Linked DNA regions of Lonchura striata. The protein of the gene in region 2 interacts with the protein of the main gene of each other region in a biochemical or structural test. Links are inferred from orthologs where the notes say so. Each region holds a gene or a part of one and is shown on either strand. Other genes may lie near its edges.

Evidence for each region.
Region 1: the proteins of APBA1 (region 2) and CNTNAP4 form a complex in vitro, tested with the Homo sapiens proteins (2 studies listed by BioGRID and IntAct, with this or other methods). The link is inferred for Lonchura striata from reciprocal best matches to the Homo sapiens genes APBA1 and CNTNAP4.

What each region holds. Positions count from the first base shown.
Region 1 is NC_134642.1:9,352,892-9,360,385, forward strand, and holds the start of CNTNAP4 (contactin-associated protein-like 4), read left to right. Parts: upstream 1-4,461; 5' UTR 4,462-4,769; coding exon 4,770-4,866; intron 4,867-7,494. UniProt on the Homo sapiens protein: Presynaptic protein involved in both dopaminergic synaptic transmission and GABAergic system, thereby participating in the structural maturation of inhibitory interneuron synapses.
Region 2 is NC_134642.1:71,715,016-71,723,057, forward strand, and holds the start of APBA1 (amyloid-beta A4 precursor protein-binding family A member 1), read left to right. Parts: upstream 1-4,985; 5' UTR 4,986-5,068; intron 5,069-5,332; exon of another isoform or gene 5,333-5,506; intron 5,507-5,673; exon of another isoform or gene 5,674-5,780; intron 5,781-6,009; exon of another isoform or gene 6,010-6,874; intron 6,875-8,042. UniProt on the Homo sapiens protein: Putative function in synaptic vesicle exocytosis by binding to Munc18-1, an essential component of the synaptic vesicle exocytotic machinery. May modulate processing of the amyloid-beta precursor protein (APP) and hence formation of APP-beta.

The DNA.
Region 1 (7,494 bases), about 62 Mb from region 2:
GGAGGCACAATACAAAGAGTCTTTATGATGGAAAAAATAAAATTCTTGGCTATGAAATGAGAAGGGCTACCAAGAAACATTTTCACAAACCCAGAAAGAAAGCTGTCCCCAGGATTTTCACAGCACCCTTTCAGGTGAAAAACCTGAATGGTCCGAGAGTAGCAGCCAAAGAACTCTCTGTGTAGCCATGTGTCTTGTTGCAACATTCGAATATAGATTCACAACAGTGCTAAAGACATGAATTCTTCTGTAGGTGCATGGAGCCATGTCTGCTCTGGTTTGTGTTCTGTGTATTGCCTGAGAAAAAAAAATGTTTTAAATCCTAAATGTAGTCATTAGTGTAGGTGCAATAAGTGTAGTTGCAATAAGCAGTAAAATGAGCCATACACAGATGGCTTCTGTCCCCTCCCCTTTTAACAAATACAGCCTGAAAGAAAATTTGCAGCTTTGCACTAAGACAAACTGTGCTATCCTGACCCTAGTGGAAAATAACAAACCAAAACAAGAAACCCAAAACATTGTTAAGACTAGTAGTTAACGCTACTCTTATTTCTGAAAATCAATTTTTACTCTATGTCATACCTACTATATAGAGATATATGATTTAAAAAATACATGTAACAATTTAAGGTGGATATGATAATTATTTTTTCTTTAAAAATGGCTTAAAAACATTGCAAATATCACTATTAGTGTACCTAGCATTATGTGTTTCTGTTCATTTATTTTTGATTTATATTTGTCTTTGAGCATTTCTGCTCTCTGCAGTCTCTGCAGACAATTACAGCAGTGTTTTTCTGCAGGGCTGGGAATAGTACTGGGAAGATTTTACGTGATAATGAAAGAATTCTATTGCATTAAAAAGACACATTCTCCAGCTGCATTATACGACTAGATGCTGTAAAGAGAAACCTGTAATACCAATACAACTGCAGCAGGTGGCACTGGAAGGAGGGTTAACCAAGGCCATGATGCAGATGAGGGGACCAAGAAAACTAAGCAGAAAAAATATGAACATAAACGTTTAAAATTTTTATCCTTATTTCCAGTCTCCTGAAATATAGTTGCAGTATCACTGTTACTTGGATAGTAAATGTGAGCTTGATGGAGCTGAGCTAGTGAAGGGTGAGGTGAAGAAGTAAGTGAATAGCTAATTTCTAATTTGGTTGATGTCTTTGAATGAGGAATTTACTGGGAGGGAATAAAACAAATATTCTCAGTCAGCCAGTATGTGTTCCATAGATTTTTCATACTTCTATTTTTGTGCTTTGCAACCAAATTATTATTTTGTTGTTATTAAATAATATATAGTGAACAACTGTGATACACTGAAAACAATTGTCCTGTAAAGTGGATTTTGTACCAGAGCAGGAGAAAGTGCTTATAACTGTCCTTTTTAAAGTTATAATAAAAGTGATATATATTTATTTATTTATAATAAATAAAGTTATATAAAAGCAATCTGCTTATTAATTGTAAGCCATTTAAAATTGGTTTACAATTTATAAGCTGATTGCAATAATACCAGGACTATGGTTAGTGTGAATTTAAAAGTGTTTCTTCTTTATAGACAAAATGTCACAGTGTAAATAATTTAAAGAGGAATAATTTAGTTTCCGTCTGCTAGAAAAAGGACTTCACTAGAAGGTCCTTTATTTGTAAATGAAGGCAGGCAATACCCAGATCAACTAATTCAAGTTTTGAACAACTAAACTTTGCAGATGTTTTATCTGTAAGGATTATTTTGTAAGAAGATACAATTCTTCTGGGGAATTTGCAGTCTTTCTAAATAGAATATATGAAGATCAATTGGAAAAGATTCTCTATAAAATCAAGTGGTCATAATGTTGCATTTCAAAGGCAAATAAAATGAATAAGCTTTTTGGTGTTTGGGGGAAATTTCAAAAGAAAGATATGAGAAGAAAAACAAAACAGAGTGGGGGAAATTTAAAAATTACAATAGGAAAATAGGCTTGTAAGAAACAGAGAGACTTGTATGAGTTCCAGAAAGAGGAGCTCAGAAGTTAGTGAAAAATCTGGATGCTGTAAGGAAGAGAAATGGCAAACGAGATGCTGGCATACAGAGATATGATTATGTGAGCAGAAATATTTCACGGATGCAGGAGAAAGATACGATGCAGAAGAAAAGAGGAGGTTGCAATATTCTCTGTGAGTCAAGCTATGTTATTTTATGCACTTTACCAGTGCCAGATACCATAGAGCCATCTTTGGATAAATAGATGATTATCTTGATATTCCAGATACATACTGTATAGACTTCTGTAATTCTAGCTGTCCAAACAGAAACATATGTACATGTTTTGGCATACCATTTTATTCTAAGACTGGCTTTTCCAAAATTATAAAAGTACATTATATCCATGTGTATATTTGCATGCAATACAGTCCAAAAAAAAAAAAAAAAAAAAAAGGAAAATTCTATGACCTTTGTCTGTTAGATGTTCATTTTTTATGACTATAAGCTATTTTAGAAAACAAATATTTACCCACAATGGAATTGGCATTTTTACTGAATTTGCATTACATTACCAGAATAATAATTCTTTCTTATTCAAAGCCCTGGGGATCTTAGAGCTAATCCTAAAGAACATCACTACATTGAAAGTCCTTGCCAAGATTTTATGTGATATTTGTCCTATTTTTAAGCATGAAATTTTGTCTAGCTGCAGAGTCAAGGACCATCTCATGGGATATTCTTTAGAGATGGGATGCAGCACATGGAACATTTTAATACTCATATTAATTTAGTTAGAAGGTCAATATTAACTCAAGGAACTATATAGCAAAGAAATCGAGCTTCTGGACAGTGACTCTGTGGTTGTATTAAACTCTGGAAACAGAATGTAGAATTTATAGGTTGATTTAGGAGAGCTGGAAGGCAGGTTATGATTCACATAATCTTTAATACAGTTTCTTCACGCATTTTTGTTCAAATAAAAGTTGACATGGAGAAGTGGAAGGCCAGCTGCATAATAGCTTGTTAACTTCACTTGAAACTTTCTACCCAATATAGCAATTTAGAAATGGGCCTTTTTGTCTCAATCATGCTGATTTGCTACTTTTGAAAGGATATAACAAAAACTTGCCTTCTAAGTTTTTTTTTTTTTTTTAGTTGTTTCGGCTGAGCTGAAATACATTTTTGCAAAACCTAACACAGTTTGGCTTTGGTAGCATAAAACCAGAACACATTTTACTCTTTACTTGTGTAGATGAATAAGAATATCCTTCAGCGGACAAGGTAATGGATTTAAATAATCAACAAAAATTCAGAAGCTAAGGGAGCTTAATTCATGTTTTGTCTCTATCCCACAGTTATTCTTGACACCAAACAGTTCTACATAGCAATTTGCAGAAAAGTCTGTAGTTTCTGCAACGCAGAAGAGGGAACACTCAGTAACATTATACCTTGTGTCTAACCCACAGACAGCAGTATCACTTAGGATGAATAATCCCGTTGGTACACAGGAGCTGGTAGATAGCTCAAATGAAGTAGGAATACAAAATTTGGACCACTAGACTAAATATGCAAATGCTGAGTCTGCTTTTGATATATATCACAGTCATAACGCATGCAGGTTCATACTGTCATTGTAATTTCTGCCAAAACATAGGCAGTGCATACAGCATGAACACTGCAGAAGCAGCAGTGATGGGGCCATTGATGTGGTCCTTTAATGCAGCTTTTACCCTCACTAATGTCATGAGTTTGCTAATACGCAGTCATATTTCTCACACTTGAGAAATAATGTTAGCATATACAGTAACTCAGACCGTTTCACAAAAAAAGCAAAGCAAACTCAAGCAAACAAACAGAAAACCAAACAAAACCCCCCAAAAAACCATACACTTTTAAATTATAGTTTGAATGTAATGACTTAAAATTCCTCTGAAGTTCTTTCTCAAATGAAGCTATTTCCCAAACACAAGGAATAGGAGGGTTTACTTCCTATACTTTGTGAAAGTATAGGAAGTAAAATGCTCTATGTGGCATTTGGGGGCAAAAGTATTTTGGGAAAGACAGGTGCAATCATACGTTTATATTATGTTTATGTGTTTACTCTTAAGAGTTGAGAATATAACTCTTTAATGCCAGCATTAATAAAGCCCTGCAGGGACAGTGGTGGTGCCTTTTCCCGAGGGGCAGCCAATCACTCGCTCCTCAAGCGAAGGCAGCAAACCGCTTTCCTTTTAAGAGAGCAGAACTCGCAACTTGTACAAAAAAAAAAAAAAAAAAAAAAAAAAAAAAAAAAAAAAAAATTAAGAAAGGAATAAAAATCGCTAGGCGGGGGAAAGGCTGGGCAGCGCGCAGAGGCAGCGGCGGCGCAGGGGCGCAGGGGCGCAGGGCAGGCGGAGCGCCCAGCGCCGCCCCGGGGCCGCCGCCGGGGGTGTCCGCGCCGCGCGGAGCCGCAGCGGCAGCAGCGCCGAGCGCAGCCGGCAGCGCCGAGCGGAGCCGGCAGCGCCGAGCGGAGCCGGCTGCCGGCAAAGCCCCGGTGCCTCTGTGGCACTGCTGGGGGCGAGGTTCTCGCTCTCTCGCTGCTGCTCCTCCCGGCTTGCTGCTGCGAGACCGAGAAGCAGATGCGGAGGTGAGCGTGCGTGCGGCAGGAGATGCGGAGCGCGCTTGGCTGAGGTGCAAGACCCCTGGGAAGCGCTGCGAGAAGAGGCGGGGAGAGGCAGTGGGAAGGAGGCAGGAGCAGAACTGAAGTACAGCGCAGCTGTTTCCGAGTACTCTGGTTCTTTTGGGTGCCTCAATGATTGTGAACATGGATTCTGTCACTGAAATCTTCTTGAAGCTGCTCTTTCTCCTGTCTGTTCATCGCCAGCACATGGCAGTGGCAGGGAATAAATGTAAGTATTGCATATGCTTTAAAACTCAATCCAGAGTGTGTTGAAAACTTCTGGATTTTTTTTTTTTTTTGCATTACAATAAATATAATTTTTGAGATGAACATTTATGCTTTGAAATCATGACATCAAGCTGCTAGCCTAAAAATTTTCTAAAACTCTTCTATAGATTTTTGTCATGAGTCTGTGTACAGAATGTTGTTTATAAAGCTTACTGTATAAGAGTATCTGAAAGCAGCATTTTCTAAGGGATGCATGTTCAGATGTATTTTAATTTTGTTTTCTCTTTTGAAGTGCAGTATTTTCCAAGGAATTGTGTCTTATGTGGAAATTACTGGCAGACTTCTATTGTGCAATGTTTCTATTGTGTAGTGGATTTTAGCATTTGGAAATTTTGAAAGCTGGTATCTGCATATCCTGGATTAAGCTGGCACTCAACTTGAATGGCAATCACAGTGCAGTTCAAAAGCAGTAGAAATGTAACAAGGAAAAATGTGGGTAGCAAGGCTCTAAGGTCTCTGCATTGATTGCTTAGGGAGTATTGTTCATGCATGACTACAGAAGAGAATGCTAACAGTTGCAATAGAAAGTTTTTTGTTTGGTTGTTTTTTGTTTTTTGGTTTTTTTTTAATGAGTTAACCCATAGAGTGGTATCACAGAATAAAGACTGTGATTACATTTTTAAGGACAATCTGCTCTCTAGGAGGCAAATCATATATACATAGATGAAAGATAGATACACATACACACACACATATATATGTGTACCTGAAAAAATTCTGTTTCCGGTATTGATTTAAACTAATTACCTTTAAATAAAAAAGGAAAAAACTTATTAAGAAATTAATTTTCAGGGCTTTTATAATTCAGTAATAGAACTGAGTTATTTTTGTTCCATTTGATTCAGCTTCAACAAGCTGGAGGATTTCATTTTGTGTTCTGTGGTAGTGCAGTAGCCTAAATGCCAGATGCTCATAACCTGAATTGAACATATTTTCTCCCCTTCCTGTTAAGGCACTGGTTGTGCATCACAGGAATGGGAAGGGCTGAAGTAATGCTTCTGTGGGAAGAAAGTGCATGCCAAAGCAATGAGGAATGTTCAGGAACAACCTTATAGCCCAGTGGCAGGGGACAGCTCCCTAGAAACATTTGAGCAATGGCAGAGAAGTTTGAAGTGCTCAGTAGATCTATAGCCTAGGGTTTTGCATATGGATGGTTTGTAAACTAAACATGCTCCCATGAGCCAGACATTCACACTGCAGCACCAAAATGATCTTGTGCTGTCATTCAGTAATGATATCTCATTTGATACTCAAGTGCATAGTGTAGCCCTAAACATGAATACTAAGTTCCTCATGTTAAACACCCTGCTGCAATCCAGTCACAGCTTTAATTCTCTTCATCATTCTGCATTGTACAGTTTATGAATACATCCATTTTCACAAGACCATGATAATTGAATTGCACATTAATAGCATTTGGCACTATGCACGAAACTAAATCAGTTCCTTACAGGGAGGCATATTAAAACCATTGCAAAGAAAAGCTTGCATCACACAGCAAAGCAGTAAAGCACTAGAGGTCACTCTTACAATCTCGGAAGCAAGGTTTGAGGAAGAGGCTCAAGCTTCTTTCCAATATAGAATTCTGAAGGATGAAACAAATCAAGTATAAAATACATTCACTACCTATTCACTTTCTCAGCTACATCTCAAAAACAGGGCAAAATCCTATGTCAAATGGTTGAATTGAATAACAGAGTTTTTCCTGTATATGCTACTATTTTTAAATGCAAAGTATTTTTATTTAGGAATAAATCCTAACTACTATGTCAAAACACTGATCTGAATTGAAAATACAAGAACTCTGCCCGTGCTACAGGCAGGTTACATTATTATGGGAAAAATAAATTAAATTATTTAAAATAAACAATGAACACTAACCTATGGAGAAAACTTGGCCAGCATAAAGCATATTGTTTATTTTTAACATCTAATGTGAAAAAAAAATCCCTATATATATTATTTTGGAAGTGAACATTTCTGTAGAAGAGGTAGTTTGTTTTAGAAGTGACAGTTTACATCTTAAGTATTATGGTACAAATTTTGTTACCATATTACAATTCAAAAAAATTACCTTAGGAGAAAAGGTTTTTCATAATTACTTATTATGGTAGATCCATGCATGAGCCATTATCTACTTACTTGAACTTTACTCCTTTTTTCTTGTAGTGTTAACCAGGAATTGAAATCTTTTTCAGTAGGTGCTTCTACTATTGGCATTAATGTACTTAAACCCATTTACAAAATCAGGTAAAGTTTGAATGTCTTGAATGAATTTTGATGGCTAGATTTTTCAGTAGGCTGCCAATCATCAAACACAATAGGACGAGGTTTTAATTTTCCTTCTATATTAATATTTTTTCTCATTTTAATTTTATGGTTCTTTCTGTAGTATTAGATCCTGAATACTTAAGTTTTGCTTTGCCTTTAAGGTCAGCGCCCAGTAAGAAAAGACAAAATCAAAGACCTTTAAAAGTCATTTTGAAGTGTTATTGGTAATATTACTAAGTCAGTAGTCCGAAGAAAATTTCCTAGATCAAAAATTGATGTGTTTAAAATTATTTCTGTC
Region 2 (8,042 bases):
TTTGTTTTCTGGGGGCTTTTTTTTATGCTGAAGTGCCCCTTGCTATTGTCCTATAGCTCAAAAGACGAGGATAAGAAGGATATTTTAGCTGTGGAATTTTGAAGTTTTAATGGTCTTGCTTTCTTTCACCATATAAGTTCTTTTGTTTAAACAGAAGTATTAATCTGCCTCACACCTCTGTCTGATTGCGGAAAGTGATAGAGTGACATAATGGAAGTTGCACTTAGTGATTACTTTAGTAATGGCAATGATTACCAAGTGGAGTCAAACAGAAGATAGGAAGAGAAAAATTAGTCTTGGCATTATCATTATCCACTCTAAAACTAAAAACCTACATCTTTTAATACATGCAGGCATGAAGCAAAGGAAAACTAAATGATATCTGAGTTCTTCAGTGTTAGCATGTCTGGGTATACATCTTTAGCTGTATGGGTCTTGACTGCTTTAAGCCAGTGAGATTTCTCAACAGTTCAAACAAGCTGGTGAAGCCATGAAAATTTAGTAGCCACCGATAATCTGTTGATCTTAATTTCTTTCCTCACTGGGGTGTCTTTGCTACTGAAGGACAATATGGCTTTCTCTTAGGAAACAAGGAAGAAAGATCTCTCTGTGCATAATTGCTGTCTTTACAAGGTGCTGTCTGGCTGAGTTTTATGAGTAACTGGTCCCTTTTGTACCCCTTGCTGTCTACCACTGTCCACTACTTCCCCATCCCCACTCCTGCTAATCCTTCACGTGTCTGCACAGGTACACCAATTGCCTTGGACACCCCAGACCGTTAGGTTTGCATCCTCATCAGTTGCAACATTTCCAGTTTACCTGTGGTTTTTTAATAACCTGTCATTTAGGTTTTTTCCTTGTCTTTGCCTCTGTTAGTTCATCTGTTGGGTTTGTGTCTCTCTTTGCTGGGTTTGTTGCTCCCCCTTTACTTGTTATGCCCTTTGGTATTGAAAGGTCCTTGATCAGATACCTATAAGTGAGCAGAGACTCTGTGCCTATACATAGCCTTGCACAAACAGGTTTGTTTCCAAGAAGACTGAAAACCTTGCTTCAGTGTAGTTTTTTTTTGTTTGTGTTTTTTTTGGGTGTTTGTTTGTTTGTTTTAATCCCATGACAGCTAGCTTTACTCTTTATTTTCTGAAGCCTTTTCACTTTGACTGGAAAAGTAAAAGCTTTCAAAAAGTCCTCAAATGAATAATGTTATTAGGGCCTACAGTCCCGTGAAACACAGACTGTTCAGTTGGGTAGTGCTTGAATTGAATTAATACAGAAATTAAAATTCACTTTCCATCTGTTCATGAGATTTGAGCAGTAGTTGCAGTTTTCCCTGTAAGATAGTGCAACAAAAACAAAGGGAAAACTGCAAGTACTACTTGAACTGAGTAATTAGAGGAAAGGGTGGCAGAGCTGAGAAGCAGTTTCTAAGTGACTGTAATGAGGATGGAGAGGGAACAACATGAAATCCCCTTCTGTCTAGAAGGACTTTGGGTTGTTTTGGTCAGCAGTTGGTCTTCAACTGATGAAGAGAACATACTTGCATTAATTAAGTGTATCCACTAGATTAAAAATAGGGATGCAGACTTAAATGCTTATTGATACACAGCAAGTCAAAGCTGGCTGCACTGAGTCATAATTAGGAGTATGAAAATGAACTGGGAAAGTGTCAGTTCTTTACTATCCCTGCTAGCAGAACTAACCACTGCAAACTTACCATCTTACGGGTTAAACTGCCAGATTGCACAGGAACAGAAAGTAGCACTGGTACAACCTGTTGATGAGTCTGGACATTGAGGGGAGAGAAGGCAAGATGCCTGTCTCCATTTCTCTCTGATTAGGCGTTTCCATAAGAGAAGCAGAAATATAAAATTTATCTTTCTTTACATTTGGAGGGCAAATTAGGGGATGAGACACCTACTGAATGTATACAGAAGGAAATATGGGCTCACCACCCCAAAGGAAAGTAACACAGAGCATGAGACACCTGCTTTATCACTGTGCAGAATGGGCAGACGGACCTGCTTGTCTAGAAACCTCAAGGCTGATATCCTTTGTGAAGGATAAAAGCTACTTTATGGCTTCTGTGAGTCTGGCTATGTCAGTGAAATTGAGACTTCCTATGTCTAGTAGATACATATAGTAACTAGTTTTCAAGATATTATCATATTTCTTTTTATCTCCATTTTTTATTTTCTGAATCAGTGAATATAAAATATAATCAAAGATAAGACAGAAGTAGCATTTACAGAATAAAGTGTTTGATTTCTTCCAATACTACCTTAAAGACTACACCTCTCTAAGTGATAAAGAAGAGCATCCTCCTTGTGCACGTGGAGATTGCAGGAGTGCTTGGAAGTTATATTAAGGTATCATTCCCTGGCATGGAAAATCACTGCCTGTGGAACCTAAGTGTTTCTTATGCTGCTAAGGAGTTACAGACAGATTGGATGAAGGCACAGTGAAATTTTATATGGGAAGTCAGAATAGTTGACAAAATTGGATTTTTATGCTTGAAAACCATAGACGTGATTCCATGCTGTTCACTTAGATATTTCAGACCAAGCAGCAAGTAAAGAAGATAAGATGGTTGAGTCTGGAAGATACTATTCATAAAACTGGCTTTCTTTAGTTTATTGATCCAGTACCAGAATTTGAAAACATTTTGATTTCTGAAACCCGCCTATTTCAGTACCACCAAGCACCCCAGTAACAGCCTACTCCCTTCTAGCAACAGGTAATGCTCAGACCAGTACAATTAGTGATTAATGCATTTTGAGATGTGAAAGCTGTAATCCTAAGATTTCAGATAGTAGAAAGCATTCATTTCCAGCCCTTATGGGTCTTGAGCTATCTGACCTTAAAAATGTCAAGCTTGCACTTTTCTTTAAGTCTGTGAGAGCTGTTTTGCTTTTGGCCCAAGCCTGAAAATAGTATCACACAAAGCTAAGATCATTGCAATGTCTAGTTCCTGAAAACACATAGAAGCTGACTGGATTACTAAACTAATGTAGGAAAAATGTGTCTGAGCTGCCTGGGCCAAAGCTTTTATCTAGGCTAATGGATATATAAACAGCAACACCCACCCCTTCCTCCTCCCTACCCTCCCTATGACCCCCCCCCCCCCCCCGCCCCCATACAATGAAAAAATGGGTTCAGTGTAAATAGTGCTTTTTACCTAGCAAGATTCTCTGAATATGCTAGTATCTGGCTGCTATGTATTTGTCACTGATTACCACAGCTTCTTACAAAGCTGTCACCTTCAGAAGGTTATAATTTAATATCCAGCAGACATTGTTGATTCATCTGCAGTGCTACTTGATTTTATAAATGTTACAGATTAGTCTTGGTGATTTTCCTACTGGTTTTTCAGTTGGTTTTAATTTTCTAGATTGAAATTTCACTAAATAATCATGATAATGAAAACAAGAGCCTGAAGGTCAATGCTAGTGCAGCATTAACAATACTAATACTGTTGCATTCTAACAGTGTCTGTCTCTTCGGGTTCACAGACAACTTGTGTGCTAGAAGAACTGTCATCATGGGCTGTGAAGCACAAGCGTTAATTGGAGCTTTGTGAGAAAAATGCGTTTAGGACATGAAACTTCTCTAGGATATAATTTAGCAGTCATTGAGACTGCTATTGTTAATATTTTTAAACTATAGCAATATAACAGTAAAACGCAGGTCGGAGGGGACCCCTAGAGGTCACCTGAGCAAACGTCTCTCTTAGAGAAGGACAAGTTTAGATCCCATTCGGGACCAACTTCATTACTTTGAGAGGAAGAACAGGGGGAAGGAGCTTGATTGCAAGTTAAGTGTTTTGTCTAACGAAACTCTCCAAGAATGGATAGTTTTGGAAATCATGCATATTCTATACACCTTAAGTCGTGGTAGCCCGGAGTTATTCCAGAGCCATATATGAAGGACATAGCAAAGAAGGGAACAGACATGGCCTCCAGGCTTATTTGTTTTTGCTACAAATGTTAGATTCCTCCAGAACAGGATAGAAAAACAGTGATGAATAGAAACTATTCATAGAAGGGAAAGAAATAAAGTGTTACAATGTATTAAAAACAAAGGAAGGGATTTTGATAGCAGTTGTCTAAATAATAAATTTGTTTAATTCACTTTTTAATTCTTTAAAACATATTTTTTCATACTCTCATTTTTCAAGTCTTCATTTGGAGAATACGGTAGCATTTTGGCATTGGGCGTTTAAACATGCGGCTGTGCAATGCAGAGTGACTGAACTACATTGTAACAGGAGAATAGGTGGTGTTACCACGAACCAAAAAGTATCTATCCACCAGAAGGGGGAAAACAGAATTTAAATCCAAACTAACAGCAAGTTATCATAGTAATTAGTTTGAAGCCTTTACACGCAGGTTACTTTTGATAGTTTGCAGTGGGATTTGCCTAAACACTTCACAGATGTTTAACACAATGTGTTCCCTAAAATGATAAATTAACAATAGTGTCAAAATGTGCCAATTTAATTTGCCAATACTACAACTTTTAAGCAGTTGCTAGGTTTTTTAAAGTCCCCTGGCATTTTTTTTTTAATGGTTAGGTATCAATCTGGCTGTGAAAAAGTAACTGTATTTCTTCTGATAGGTAATTTTGTTTAAATACGATAAAAGCAAGACACTATGTGGAGGAGTTTAAGATATTTTCTGCATGTGTGGAGTCGCTGACGCAGTTAACTACAAGAAGGAGCTTGGAGAAGGTATGAGATACTTTACAGCTGGGATATAGATGCACGCTAAGGTCCAACACTTTGTGTTTGTGTATGTGAACACGGGTGTAGTATTTTGGGAAAGAGGCACTGCCAAGCCCTTTCTAGCATAGCAGTAAGCCTCCGTGCAGGCTGCATGCACAATTTGGTGAGGTGTACTGCACCTCGGTCATTGTAGCTTTCCCCCAGGTGAGGAGGACGACCGGGGCCCGCTCGCAGCGGCGATGAGGCTGCGGCGCCTTGGCACACCCACCCTCACACTTCCTCCTTGGCGGGCGGAGCCTCCTCCCTCCTGGGCCACCTAGGGGCCCGTGTCCAGGGAGGTGAGACGGACAGGTCGGTGCTCTGCAGGGCGTCCCTCGCTCCGAGCTGCCCGGGGCCGGCAGCCGGTCCGGAGAGCGCCGGGCGTGTGACCGACGAGGGGCCGGGCCGCGCCGCCCGCACGGCCGCGCTCCGCTGCGCCGGGAGGCCCCGGAGCAGCCCGGCCGAGCCGCGCCGAGCCCCGGCCCCGCCGGGCCGGCGCCGCCCACGCCCGTGGGGCCCGGCTCCTGCCGGGAGGGAGCGGGCGGGCGGGCGGGCGCGCTGACGCGTGAGGGCGGTGCGGCAGGAGGGGCCGGCCCGGGCGGTGCTGGCGGCGGCAGGAGGAGGAGGAGGAGGAAGAAGATGGTGGCCGCGGGAGGAGCGGCTGGCTGCTGGGCTCTCTGCCCTGCGCTGCATCGCCGCCCCCGTCGGAGCCACACTGCCTGCTGAGGAGGCGGCGCGGACCCGCACCAGGTGCGGAGGGGAGCGGGAGGGGGTCCGGCCGGGCCCCCGCCGCGGCGCGGGTGTCGGGGAGGCAGCGGGCCCGCGGGGCGGGTGCCCGACACCGCGGGATGCTGGCCCGGCCCCGCCCGGCGGCTCCTGCCCGCAGCGGGGTGCGGGCGCTGCGGCGGGCTCCGTCCGGCTGCGTGGGCGTGCGATCTCCGAGCCAGCGGGGCAGCTCGGCACCTGCCCCGCGCTGCGGAGAGCGGCGCCAGCGCGGCCATGACTGCCTCCATCCCGGCCACCGGCAAGGCGTTGCGTGCTTCCCTCTGTTTATTTATTCCATTATTTTATTTGGTGGGGGTGGGATGTGGCTAGAATAATGCTGTGTGGAGCCGTGCATACCCCAGTGCACGGGGTTGCTTTTTTTTTTTTTTTTTTTTTTTTTTAAGATTTATTTTTCCCTACGCACACCTTTCCTATGGTGGATAGGAGAAATGGGGGGCGCGGGTGGGAGGGGGCAATGTGGGGATTTCGCATCCGGCGATCGAATGGTCGCCGTCGCAGCAGGACGGTCTCGGCAGCCTCTTGCGTCGGGAGATGCTGCCGGGGTCTGCGGCCGCGTCCCGCTTTGCAGCAGGGAACTCAAGGGGGGCCTGGATCTCCCCGTCCTCCCCGTGGAGCGTGCTCTCCACCCCTGGGCTGGGGGGAAGGTGACATCTGCTACCTTCTCGTTCTGGTTTCAGGAAAAGGAAGGTGTTTTTTTTTTATTTTATTTTATTTTATTTTATTTTTTTTTTCCCCAGGAGAAGCTGTTTGATAACAATGATTGCCTGAATCACAGTCGTGGCCAGTGCAGCCGTATGCATTACATCTCTTTGTAAGGATCAGAGTCAATAGGAGCAGTCTATCAAGACTTGTTTTACTGCTATCATAAATCTCTTAAAGAGAGGTGGGGCTGTGGGTCTAGGGTGGAAAACTATATCTTTTTGCTTTCTCCTGTTGTAGATTTTTTGGGCTGTGGGATTGCAATTTGGTTTAGAGAGTAAATTGCAGATATGGCTGTTTTCATAGCTGCTGAGGAACTGGAAGGTAGAGATATTTGCCTGACTCTGCATACATTAAGAGTGAGCTAATGTGGGTGTAGGGCAGATCAACCACGTAGCATTTTTCTTGTCTTTGACATGCGTCACGTTACACCAGCTGGTAAGAGTACACCCAGATGGCTGCAGTTTTGTGTCTGCTCTGCAGCTGTGGCCCATGGGTCCCAAATAACTTCCAATATTCCAGTCATAGTATTCTAGGTTCTGCTGCATTGCTGTTAAATCTGGACCACCTGCACCTCCCTTTCCAGCCCATATCAGGAACAAGCATGTGATGCCTGCCTATTCTTCCCAAAAGGTGATGGTGACATAGAATGTGTTTATTCTCTGTGTGCTACCAAATCAAAACTGAGGTGCGTGTTTACCTTTGTGTCTAATGCTGTGGGAGGAAGGAGCAGGATAGACTGTCCGGAAATGCTGTTCAGGAGGGAAGGAGAACAGTTACTGTTTAATTCTGTGCATTTGTGTGTGTTTGTGCAGAAAAATTAAGTGTCAGGTGAATGATAAGGCATGATCACAAGAAACTCTGAAAAAGCAGAACATTAGTGTTGTAGTGCACCTTAGATGAGTGTTTTGGATGTTTAATGAGTGAAATGCAAACCTTAGCAGAAGACAGCTTGCCTTCCTTGGAAAATGTGGTCTGAGATTGGTATATCAATGAGCTTTTAGGCCAAACTGATTTCTACAATGTAATGGTGGTTCAAGGTTGGCTGAGTACTGTGATTCATGTAATTCATTGCTCTGAGTTTTGGACATTTCTAGTTGTAGCTTAAAATGATACTTCTATTTTACATTAGTGCATTATCTTCCATTAAAATGGCAAACTTTCTGGTGACTGTGCTGTCTTTTAACAGATGCAAGGCCAGACTATCAAAAGTATTTACAGATTAGCTCTTCAGTTAAAAAAATGCAAGAATGCTGGGAAGGTGATTTGATACATCTAGGTACATAGAAAAGATAGTTTTGGTTTGTTAAGAGGGAGACATGCCAAAGATTTTGAGTAACCATTTGGTTACTTAATTTGAAATCCTTTTCACAATTTTCCTGAGTTGATAATTTAATTCTCAATCCTCTGTTTATGACAAGTTTGCAATTTCATATCTGTTGGGAAAGGAATGCATTCTGTTTTTTTTTTCTTTGTGCTTTCTTTTTTTTTTTTTTTTAAATTTAATAGAATTGCCTTCATGTATTTAAAAAATGAGAGCTAATGCTTTAGAAAAAATTTTGTGATACAGGATGTAGTGGCATCGTGGATGCCAAAAGTGAGAATCTTGGAGTCCGCCATGCATTTTTTATTTCCGGGCAGGGAACGTGGGTGTAGGTTTTTGAAGATATAAAACATCTTAAAAATGTGAAGATTTTGTTTGCTCTGTGGTAATGTAAGTAATCCATAACACTTTGAATAAAGGGAGTACTAATTTTGAGGCTCGAGTTGATCTATCTAAATAGGAACTCTTTGCATATGA